3 linked regions of the Arabidopsis thaliana genome follow. The protein of the gene in region 1 interacts with the protein of each later gene in a biochemical or structural test. Each region holds a gene or a part of one and is shown in the gene's direction. Other genes may lie near its edges.

Region 1 (3,125 bases):
TTGCTTATTACTTCTCTGGCTTTTTATCATGAGATCCAATGAGAAATGTTTTGGAGAAGCTCAAGGTTGTGAAGATGATGGTGTAGGTGGCCTTGTTCCATGGCCGTTGGTGTTGAAATATGTCTCTTTATGTCTTTGAATTTTCCTCTGTCTGACAAAGAATGGGCGTGTTTAATTTTGAAGGGTGTTACTGATGCTGGTGAGTTTGTTTATACGCCAATGAGTGTGTATGAATCCTTCCATGTGGTGTATTTTGATCCAAAGAGAAAGAGTATTAGAGTAACCAAAATTAAAGGAATTGCAAATGACCTATATAGACGACTTAAAGGGCTCAGACTCGATTCTCTCAATGATCTCGATGTTTTCCCAAATAACATTGAGAGACTCTTGTTGTTGTAAGATCATTAATGGCTCAATGCTATTAATCACTTATGCGATATTAAGCTTCTTTGATTTCCTTAGGCTTTTCTTGTCATGATTTGTGATCATTCCTATGGTTTTACTATCATAACATGTTATAGAACAATTAATGTGGATACTGGATACTGCATGCAGACTATTGCATAAGATCCGTAAAACCCGAGACTGGTCTGTTCCTAGCATTTGTCAAGTGAGCCACGTCTCCTTCTTCAAATATTAAGATCAGGACGTACGACAAAAGCAACCAGAGAAATCACAACCAAGAACCACAAGCAAATGTAGCGAACTCAAACCCTCATGAAGTCTAGTTTAGCTTATCGTTGCTCGTCTTTTGTATCCACATTCATTTATCACGTTAGCATCTGGACGACAAAACCATCTAAACTCTCTTCTTATGTGTCCACTCTTACATCCACAAGTTTCAGAAGATTTCCGAGAGGCTTTTAAATTCGCTCAGGGAGTGCTAAAAAGGGTTTCTTGTAGTATACGAAACTCTCAAAACATCAATTCTAAGATGTGAGAAAGTGAAAAAAAATTGGTTATTAAGTGAGTGTCTTTACTATGCAGGATCATATTGATATACATTTTTGGTTATATTCCAAATATAGATTTTCATAAAATAATAGTTTTACATAAAATAGGTGTTGAAACTGTCCTTTTGCTTGTAGCCTCTACAGAAAAGCCGATAATCTTCTTTGAACTCAAGAGGCCTCTGAACAAAGCCATTTCTTGAGTCTGGAAAATCTAAATTTGAAGCTTCTGAGAAAAAGTTAGATGCTCAAAATTTTGAGGTCTGGATTGCTTCACTACTTGGTGAAGAGTTGGTTCTGTCTCTGGATGTATAAATAGATTGATAAAAGACTTCAAATCACCCTGAAACCATTCAAAGTAGGGGTGAGACATACACAAAGATAGTTTCACATGGTTCTGTTTTTTAGGTATGATAGATGACAAGTTGACAACGGAAGCTAATGAGCATTATCATCACTTCACAAGGGTCTGTCTTCTCCATGTCTGTATAATAAATGAAGAGAAGAAGTGAGGTATTCAGTCTCTTTTAGTTTTCATGTGTGGATATAATCAAAGAACAACTAGAGAGTGACATTGAATTGTTGTTCTGTTGTTGAATAACATTCAGGTCCCCACTTTAACTTCTTAATAAATCCATTTCGACTGCAGAGATTAGAGTACTATAGGACAAAGAACCAACCACCTAATCATCACAGAACCTGCTGTCTTTGTTCTTGCAAATATAGGGCACGTCTTATCTCAGAAACATTGAGAAAGCAAGCCCTTGTGAAATTTCACATGGAGATTATTTAAGTAGATAAATTTCATTAATGCATCTTTTCCAGATGGTAAAGACAGAACCATGTGAACTCTTGCTCTAGTCTGTCCCACGCTTCAAGACCACAGTTTCAATGACTTTTTCAGAGAAGTTTCAAATCGTTCATTGATATTTCTATATATACACCCATAACCCCATTATTTCTATCATCAACCAACAACAAGCATTCCAATAACTTGAATCTTTTCATACATCTTCAAGAGCTTCATAATAATTCAAACTTCTTTTATTTAAAATAAAATAAAAATGGCTTTCGTGAGAAGTCTATTGGGAGCAAAGAAGATTCTAAGCCGCTCCACCGCAGCAGGATCTGCGGCACCAAAAGGGTTTCTTGCGGTGTACGTAGGAGAGAGCCAGAAGAAGAGATATTTGGTGCCGCTCTCATACTTGAGCCAACCGTCATTTCAAGCTCTGCTCAGTAAATCCGAAGAAGAGTTTGGGTTTGCTCATCCGATGGGTGGCTTAACGATCCCTTGTCCCGAAGATACTTTCATCAATGTGACTTCTCGGCTCCAATGAAGATGATCCAACATTTTTTCCTTCAGTTAGAAATAGACTTATTCATTGTAAATACATGAGCTTTTTTCTCTTTCTTCTTGAAAGAGTTGTTCTAAAAGTGTAGAAAGTGAAATACAAAATTAATGTTATATACAAACTTCATGTCAATACATTTTTGATCGCTCATTGAAAAAGAAAGACGACACCAAATTCATCAATCAAAAAACTACTCTAATTATAGTTTCATGTTGATTAAAAACAATTAAGTGGAACATCTAACATCCGGATCCGTGGCGCAATGGTAGCGCGTCTGACTCCAGATCAGAAGGTTGCGTGTTCGATTCACGTCGGGTTCAATCCCCCGAACTTTATTCCGGATATCTTTTTGTTTTACCTGCTTATTTCCAATTTTTGCCTTTTGATGCACTACCCCCGGTTCGGGATTCTTGTTACTCTAACCGAGAATTTCAGATCCGGTTTTAGTATTTGTTTGCTACTCTGAATTAGACGGAAACAAATAACAAATGACCACTTTTAACTTACACAATTTATCAGTGGCTGGCTCTTACGTATAGTGTGGGGGTTACATTTAGTTGATGTCTCCAGTGACATTTGATTATAGTTTTCAAGATATTGTCAAGCAAAAAGGAAAAGAAATTTACTTTTGAATTCCAAACTTCTGTTTGTATTTTATTCTATAAATAACATTGCTTTCTCCTTCCAAATAATAAAGACAAGTATACATTGCCCAAAAAGGAAAACTATAGAGACACGCACTAGTTAGGGTTGATGTGGACTGGATCCGATCCCTTTCTTCAATGATTTATTGATACGTATCTGTTACGCTGAATATACATAT
Region 2 (3,689 bases), on another chromosome or scaffold:
TAGAGACAATCTCACCTTGTGGACTTCAGACCTTAATGAGGAAGGAGGTATTCTTATTTTCTTTTGTTTCCCTATCTCATGATCAAATGGTTTCCTTAGAATCAAATGAGCTGTTAAGAGCGTTACCTTGGAGTAAAAATGTTGATGTTTGGGAACTCGTAACCATTAACCATCTGTCTATATTTGAATTAAACCGTCCTTTATGCATGTATTGCTATGTAGATCTTTCATTTTAGTTTTGAAAGCCTCAACAAAAAACATACCAATCTACCATCTCATAGTTATTGGATTCTAGCTAATCTTGTAAAAGTTATATGTTTGTAGCAGAAAACATTACTAGTTTCTTGTTTCTCTTCCAAAGCTTTTTCACTCACCTTTTTTTTTTCCCCTCTTAGATGAGAGAACCAAAGGTGCTGATGAGCCTCAAGATGAGGTATGAAAAGCCAGTTTTGTTATAAGTTAAGCTACTTACTGATTTTTCCATTTTGCATTGACAATTAGACCACTCATGGAATTACTGAATCATTGCAGAACTAAATCCTCTGTGAGAAGAGAAACGACTCTTGCTGCATCCTGAATCTTGAAGTGAAGACAGTAAGTGTCGTTGTTTGTTACTCGAATGTGTAATTTTTAATCTATGTCTTTCTTGATGGTGTTTTCCAGATTCTTGAACTTTTCACAACACAACACTGCGTTGCGTATCTTCAACCCTCTTATGATGTGGTTGAATTCTGTTTTACGCTTAGTTTGCTTCTTTTGTTGTTGAATTGAGCCAGCAGGCATGATTTGGGTTTTTGTTTATCAGAATATTAGGCGTATCATGGTCTCAAAATTAAAAACCAAAACAGACAAAGCTTTATTCGAAGTTTGTAATAACTAATAACTCCTTGCAAAAATCATGAAAGTCTGAATTCAAGAGGCTCTTAATAATTTGCATAAGTGATCCCAAACTTCACAACTTTTCAATTTGTGGATGTTTGCCCTCTTTGTGGCCAAGGAATCATCCTCAAGTGTGTTTCTCTACGGTGGTTTGGTCCGTAAGTGTGTGACATAATAATGGTTTGGTTCTCCCAACATGACCCTCAAAAAGGATCTCTATGCTCTAAATATGGGACTCTTGTAAGTTGTAATTGTAACCAAATGCTATCACAAACTCTCTAACTCGTACCAACACTCATTGTGTCTAATCCAATCGAGAGCCCTCAAAGTCTAAAACATGTTAATCAAACTGTGAACCAGTTAATCCTTATAGAATCAGATATCTTTTTGTCAACCATCTAAATAACATTTTTGTCACGAATTGACCACTTCCCTCGAGAGATTTTGTAGTGTTTTCTTTAATATTTTTATATGTCCAATGAATAATAATTTCATACATCTATCGAAAACTTCAATTTTGAGCTACAAATGATCAATTCAAGTATTCACTTGGCCCAACTTCTAAATTCTTTAGGTGAGTTGTTGCTAGCACAACAAATGCTACAACTGTCAAAAGCAAAGAGACAACACCTTCAAATATTAGGTTTGACTAATAAACAGAGGATCATGGTGACGATCTTTGCCAACTCTCACCAAATCAACCTGAAACCTTCAAAACAGATTTGATGCTATTGGATCCAGCGCCAATAGGACACTTGTCATTAGCTCATTTACTTTTCTATTCTTTAAAATGATGAGTGAAATCGAAAAGTCTTGAGCAAGAAATACAGATTACAGTTTCTTCTTCTCCAAGCATCTATTGTTTAAGAGAGAAAAAGAAGAAAAGCCATGGAGAATGAACAATCAACGCACGTTCACTTCGCGAGTCTCTCTTCGTCAAGCGAGCGCTACAATGGTACTTTTTTTCCAGAACAACTTCTTGAATCTTAACATGCCTTCACATTACTCAATACTCCAAATGTTTTGTTGCAGAAACATTTGAAGAGATAAAGAAAGCGATGAAGAAAAGTGTTCAGCTTAAAGCGGAGCTATCAGCAAAGGAGAGAAATCTTGTATCAGTGGGGTACAAGAATGTGATTAGCGCAAGGAGAGCTTCATTGGAAATACTATCATCCATTGTGCAAAAGGAAGAGTCAAAAGGAAATGAGGAAAATGTCAAGAAGCTTAAGAATTATCGAAACAAGGTTGAAGATGAGCTTGCCAAAATTTGTAATGACATCCTGTCCGTCATCAATAAGCAACTCATTCCATCGTCTACCACTGTGGACTCCTCTGTTCTTTTCTACAATATGTGAGCGAAAATGTGTTGTTGTGGTGCTTGAGGCGCAAAAGTGTTGCACTGTTTTGGCTATACTTTATGTTCTTTCCAGGCTGGCAGACTTCAGTTCTAATGCTGAAAGCAAGGAAGCTACTGATCAGTCTCTTGATGCATATAAGGTCCTTGGCTCATGTTTGTTTTTGTGCCTTGAGCTCGGAACAAAATAAACTGAACAATATGTTTTGTGTTTTGGTAATGGCAATGTTGGTTGTTGTTACTGCTGCAGAGACTGGTTTGGTACCAACAGTTCCAGCTATACATGACTTTGAATTGGACTTCTGTTTTCTTAAACTCTCCTGAAAGGTTCCTTTGCTTACATGCATACATATGATTATTTAATGAAATCGGTGTGGTGTTACTTACTAACAGTCTGAATCAGTGAAACTGTGTGTTGTACAGTGCATACCAATTGGCAAAGCAAGCGTTCGATGATGCAATTAATGAATTTGACAGTAAGTGATGAATCAAACAAGGACATGACTCTTATTATACAGCTACTCAGAGACAATCTCAACATGTGGACTTTAGACCTCACAGAAAGAGAGGAGGTAATCTTTTTATTTCCCTATCTGCCTCCTCTGATGATAGATAGATAGTTTCCTTTGGAATCAATATAAGCCATTTTTGTGAAATTTTGTTAGTTCTTGTACTGTTATGAGGAGCCTAAACTTTGATTCGAATGTTAATGCTTGGGAACATATTTACGGCTTTGTGGATCTTTCATTGCTTAAACGCCAAGTTGTTGAATTCAAGCAAATTTTGTTGCAAGAAACCAATTAGCATACTAGTTTCTTGTTCTCTTCCAAATCATACACTCAACTTTTTTTTTGTTTCCTCTTATCCAAAAGTGGTGATGAGCCCCAAGAAAAAGGTATGAAAAAGCCAGTTATGTCAAAATTTAAGCTACTTGAAGATTATATTTTTCATTTTGGCATTGCTAATGGAGTTACTATACCATTGCAGAACTGAATCTTGAATCCTATGCGAGAAAAGAAACGACTCTTGATGCATATCCTGAGTCAAGATGGGTTGGAATCTGTTTTACACTTAACTTGCTTCTCCTGTGTTGAAATTTCAGAATATAAGACACCATTTGGGGTTTTGTTTGTCGGAGTATACCTAAAGAATCATTGCTTGTCACCGACGTTTCTTCATTCTTTCTTTTTATAGCCAAATGAATACTATAATCCCATTGGAGCACTGAGGAAGAAAACTCGAGAATTGCTTGGTACATCTTCCTCTATAGCAGTTGCAAACAGTTCCACAAATAAAACACAATGAAAGTTTTTCAACGCCTAAGCTAAGTCTTTCAATAATGAAACCCTTTTCAGTGATAAATTTCTGCAACTATTTGCAACATCTCAATCTCTGAAAGACTTTGCTTAGAATTATAACAACAAAACACAACCAAATTGTAGTAAACTGATCCATC
Region 3 (4,511 bases), 5.3 Mb from region 1:
AAGAGATAGACTGACATCCATGCTCCCTCAACCAAAAGACAAAACACAGTGCATCAATGGCCCAGCTGTCACCACAACTCTTTTTTTTTTTGATATAGGAACTTGTTTTGTTTTCTATTCTATAATATTTATTTATTCTTCTTTCTTGTTATCTTTTTAAATCAAAACGATCGAGACTGAAGTTGTTCAATTTTTTTCGTAATAAGGATAGGAAATTAATTAAGGATAGAGAGCACATGAAAATACACTGTATGTACTGTAATGGTGCATTCAAGGACCCTTCAATACGTTCCAAGGCCACATGTGATTCTCACAAAATGGTTCAATATTTATGAAAGTTATTTGTGAATATATGTTAAGATAAAATGTACCTGGACCATTCTTTCTATTTGTATTAGACTATCTTACACGTGATTTTCTTACTCTTTTGATTTGACTTCAATTAGATCTATATATTGCATCAAACTTTTTACCAAATTATGCGTCAAGTCACACCAATTGATGAGGTTGGCCTTATCGAACTAGTGGAACCGTCATATGCGAAACCAAATATAAGAAATGAATGAAAGACCTTTCAACAAAATTAATAAGCAAGTAGAAGTAAATCCAATATCAATATAACAATTGGTTAAACCTAAATTATATGCATCCAATACGAAAATTCTTTTTTTGGTATCTTTTAATCCGTTTATTATATTTGTGGAGCCTAAGTTGCGGATCCACTTGTATTCCTTATTTGAATCATTGTTATCATTTCTCATTGTTTGTGACTCGTGAGCTAGAAGAAACAAAAACAAAAGGATAACGTAATTTTGATATTTAAAGTAAACCACTATAAATCATTGTGTGTGTGTTTTTTCTTGTTTTAAAAGATCGAATTAGGGAGCCTAACATGTTTTTGTCTCAAGAGATTATTATCATTAAAAAAAACAAGTGGAAGTGGAAGTTGTGTAACCCACTTGTTGAATTCTTAACTTCGAAGCACAACAAAAAGATAGACGAAAAACGAAAACTCGATCTAACTTCGACATATGCATTAGATAACATATAGAAATTTAAACAATCTCGTTGATGAAATTGGTCTATCAACACACGACAGTGGTTCTCTCTACAGTAGCATCAAATCGGTGGATCCTTATGAACAGAAAAAACGAGGAGGGACAGAGGAAGGCCAATGAGGGGTCATGCAAAATGGAACTTAGCAAAAGTACCAAAAAGATCCATCCTCTTTGAAAATTCATTTCAGCCCCATAATTATCCATGACATGAATTTCGATCTGAATCTCACAACAAGTAAGAGATCAGCTTTTGATAACATTAAAGAAAAAGGTAAAAAAAAGAAAGACGAGAGACTGAGAAAAGGGCAAAGACCTGTAGGGGTTAAGACAGCTAAGAGTGTTCCTCAGTCGCCCCACAAATGTCTTCTCTCCTCTCTCTTCAGTCTTTCTCAGCTCTCAAATCTTTAAATGGTTCCAAGTTCAATGCTCCCAAAACCCACGCCCACACATGCATCCTATGACCTTTCCTTTTCTATCCATTTTCTTCCCACAAATTACCACTTTGCAAACAAAAGCCAAAAACTCATTTACAAGATGAGTTAATAAAGACACTAACACACAACCAATGTGAAAACAGACGTTTACATGAGATATTGTTACCTCTAAGAAGTCATTAATCATATAATGAGAACATTCTTGCTTCCTAAGTTTTTACAAGATTATTAACCTCTAAGAAAGGAGAGACACTTTTAACGCAATAATAACTACATGATGTTATAAATATAGGAGAGAGTAGAAAAGAATATGACAGCCCTACTAAGACAGAGAATCATCATCGAACAGTAAAGAGGAGAATCTCTGAATATCCACTTTAAACTACTGCCCTCTTGTCTTAACTCTCAGAACCATTTAATTTTTCAGTTATTTTGACCCATACCCTTTTTGGCCTCTTTCCCTGCTTTCCAACACCTTCACACTTACTCTAGGGCTTCCACGGCTATATATATATGGTCCCTTCCTTAAACTTGTATCTCATAATTCACAACCAGCACTGCTACTACTAGTTTATCATTATTCCATCAATTTATTCTATATAGAGTTCTTCTCTGTTTATATTACGATATTGCTCGAAGATTACATACCTGAGAAAGATGGTTAAACCCTGTTGGAGAATAGGTGCCGGTATGGAGAGAAGTAAGATCAATCCCACAAAGGTTGATGGTTTGACATGGTACAAAGATCTTGGTCTTCACACCTTTGGAGAGTTTTCCATGGCAATGATCCAAGCCAACAGTGTGATGGAGGATCAGTGCCAGATCGAATCAGGGCCGCTTACATTCAACAATCCGACAGTTCAAGGCACATTTGTTGGAGTTTACGATGGCCATGGAGGTCCAGAGGCTTCCAGATTCATTGCAGACAACATCTTCCCCAAGTTAAAGAGTAAGACACCGACTTTTTTTATTTCCTTTATTGTTGAATCTGCCAGGCACACTAACACTGGTCTCACATGAACAGAGTTTGCGTCCGAGGGTAGGGAGATTTCAGAGCAGGTGATCAGCAAAGCATTTGCCGAGACAGACAAAGATTTTCTCAAGACAGTGACGAAGCAATGGCCTACGAACCCACAGATGGCATCAGTGGGGTCATGTTGCTTGGCAGGAGTGATATGCAACGGATTGGTGTATATTGCAAACACGGGAGATTCCAGAGCTGTGTTGGGCAGATCTGAGAGAGGTGGAGTGAGAGCTGTTCAGTTATCTGTAGAGCACAATGCCAATCTTGAGTCTGCGAGGCAAGAGCTATGGTCATTGCATCCTAATGACCCCACCATTCTTGTGATGAAGCACCGCTTGTGGCGTGTGAAAGGCGTTATCCAGGTAAACATTCATACATGATAACGCATCTGATAACCTGCACAGAGTTTTGCTTCATCAGTTTCTATGAAATACAAAAGCTTAAGAAAATCATATATTGAAGCCTATCTTGTGTAAGGATGTAAAACTGACTAGCAAATGTGTTATGACCTTTAACCAGGTCACAAGATCCATAGGTGATGCATACCTCAAAAGAGCAGAGTTCAACAGAGAACCTTTGCTGCCCAAATTCAGACTACCAGAACATTTCACTAAGCCAATCCTTAGTGCGGATCCATCAGTCACCATTACGCGGCTTAGCCCACAAGATGAGTTTATAATTCTTGCTTCAGATGGGCTTTGGGAGCATCTTAGCAACCAGGAAGCTGTTGATATTGTGCATAATTCCCCTCGACAAGTAAGTTCAATGCCTAACCCATATACAAATACGTTACATACTAGCACAATGCACACCAAGAACTATTCGTTAATACTAATACCTTCACAATCACAGGGAATAGCAAGGAGACTACTTAAAGCTGCATTGAAGGAAGCAGCAAAGAAAAGAGAGATGAGATACTCAGACCTAACAGAGATCCATCCTGGTGTAAGAAGGCATTTCCACGACGATATAACCGTTATTGTGGTCTATCTCAACCCCCACCCGGTCAAAACCAATTCTTGGGCTTCACCTCTGTCAATTAGAGGGGGATACCCGATGCATTCAACATCATGAACAGATCTTACGGCAAAAACACTTCCTGTGTCAAGGGCAATAAATTGGAGCCAGGGTCAAGAAAAGAACTAGTAGTATAGCTAGAAACAATATTAAGTTATGAGATCTTTGATATGTTCTCCACAAGAAAACATGAATTCTCATGTACCCCTGTATGCAAAATTATACACGAGGGTACTTGCATGCAATATCATCAATGTCAACGCTGGTAAAATTCGAAAGCGTTGCAACATATTGGAGTTTAGGCACAAAACAGTAGATAGCCAAGAAATGTGTTGAAACTTAACATTACATTCCCTTTATAAAAGTTTTCTGGCGCTTCATTCAAAATTAACAGAAAGCAAGTATCAACAAAAGTTTATCTAAAATCTATTACAGAAACAAAGAAACTGTGTAGCATCAGAAGCCAGCAAAAACGCAGTCCCACGAACAGAGAATTTAGAATCTGAGGCTCTCTTTCCTTCAACTGCCATAGAGACCAGAGATATGGAAACCAACAAGTACATCTATAGTTCTAATGATGTCTTACATGACAAAGAAATTCTGAAGTAGCGGCTTGAGAGGTCATATGAAATTAAGTAACCTAAGAACGACACATGTTTATGGGATCCATTTTGCATGCAATATTCGCAATCAAGCACAGAACACCAGTAGACCAGCTAAATTTCGTAACCAAGACTAAGAAAAACTAGCAAAATAGGCACAACTCAAAAGTAATCAACACTTCTAATTTCTAACTAGTTCAAAACAGTAAAAAAATGTCTCCCTTACTTAAATATTTGCTGCATGCAGTACAAATTTTCAATTGCTGGTGCTTGTGCTTGATACGAACATGCAATACTAAAAGGACCATCCACATTCCAATATATTAAAACGAAATAAAGTTATTAATCAAACTATACTTACCACTCCAAGAACCTG

Evidence for each region.
Region 2: the proteins of SAUR19 (region 1) and AT1G22290 interact in far-western blotting, tested with the Arabidopsis thaliana proteins (one study listed by BioGRID).
Region 3: the proteins of SAUR19 (region 1) and AT5G02760 form a complex in vitro, tested with the Arabidopsis thaliana proteins (one study listed by BioGRID).

The regions. Positions count from the first base shown.
Region 1 is NC_003076.8:5,962,195-5,965,319, reverse strand, and holds SAUR19 (SAUR-like auxin-responsive protein family), read left to right. Parts: upstream 1-1,914; 5' UTR 1,915-2,014; coding exon 2,015-2,287; 3' UTR 2,288-2,547; downstream 2,548-3,125. UniProt on the Arabidopsis thaliana protein: Provide a mechanistic link between auxin and plasma membrane H(+)-ATPases (PM H(+)-ATPases, e.g.
Region 2 is NC_003070.9:7,875,994-7,879,682, reverse strand, and holds AT1G22290 (14-3-3 family protein), read left to right. Parts: upstream 1-1,720; 5' UTR 1,721-1,767; coding exon 1,768-1,834; intron 1,835-1,911; coding exon 1,912-2,230; intron 2,231-2,309; coding exon 2,310-2,376; intron 2,377-2,483; coding exon 2,484-2,560; intron 2,561-2,656; coding exon 2,657-2,709; coding exon of another isoform or gene 2,710-2,717; intron 2,718-2,785; coding exon 2,786-2,853; 3' UTR 2,854-3,043; downstream 3,044-3,689. Other genes in the region: GRF10 (general regulatory factor 10), read left to right, coding at 1-47, 396-433, 532-537.
Region 3 is NC_003076.8:623,228-627,738, forward strand, and holds AT5G02760 (Protein phosphatase 2C family protein), read left to right. Parts: upstream 1-2,026; 5' UTR 2,027-2,149; coding exon 2,150-2,441; intron 2,442-2,516; coding exon 2,517-2,878; intron 2,879-3,035; coding exon 3,036-3,272; intron 3,273-3,368; coding exon 3,369-3,590; 3' UTR 3,591-3,897; downstream 3,898-4,511. UniProt on the Arabidopsis thaliana protein: Dephosphorylates and represses plasma membrane H(+)-ATPases (PM H(+)-ATPases, e.g. AHA1 and AHA2), thus influencing negatively plant growth and fitness. Promotes the apical hook maintenance of etiolated seedlings.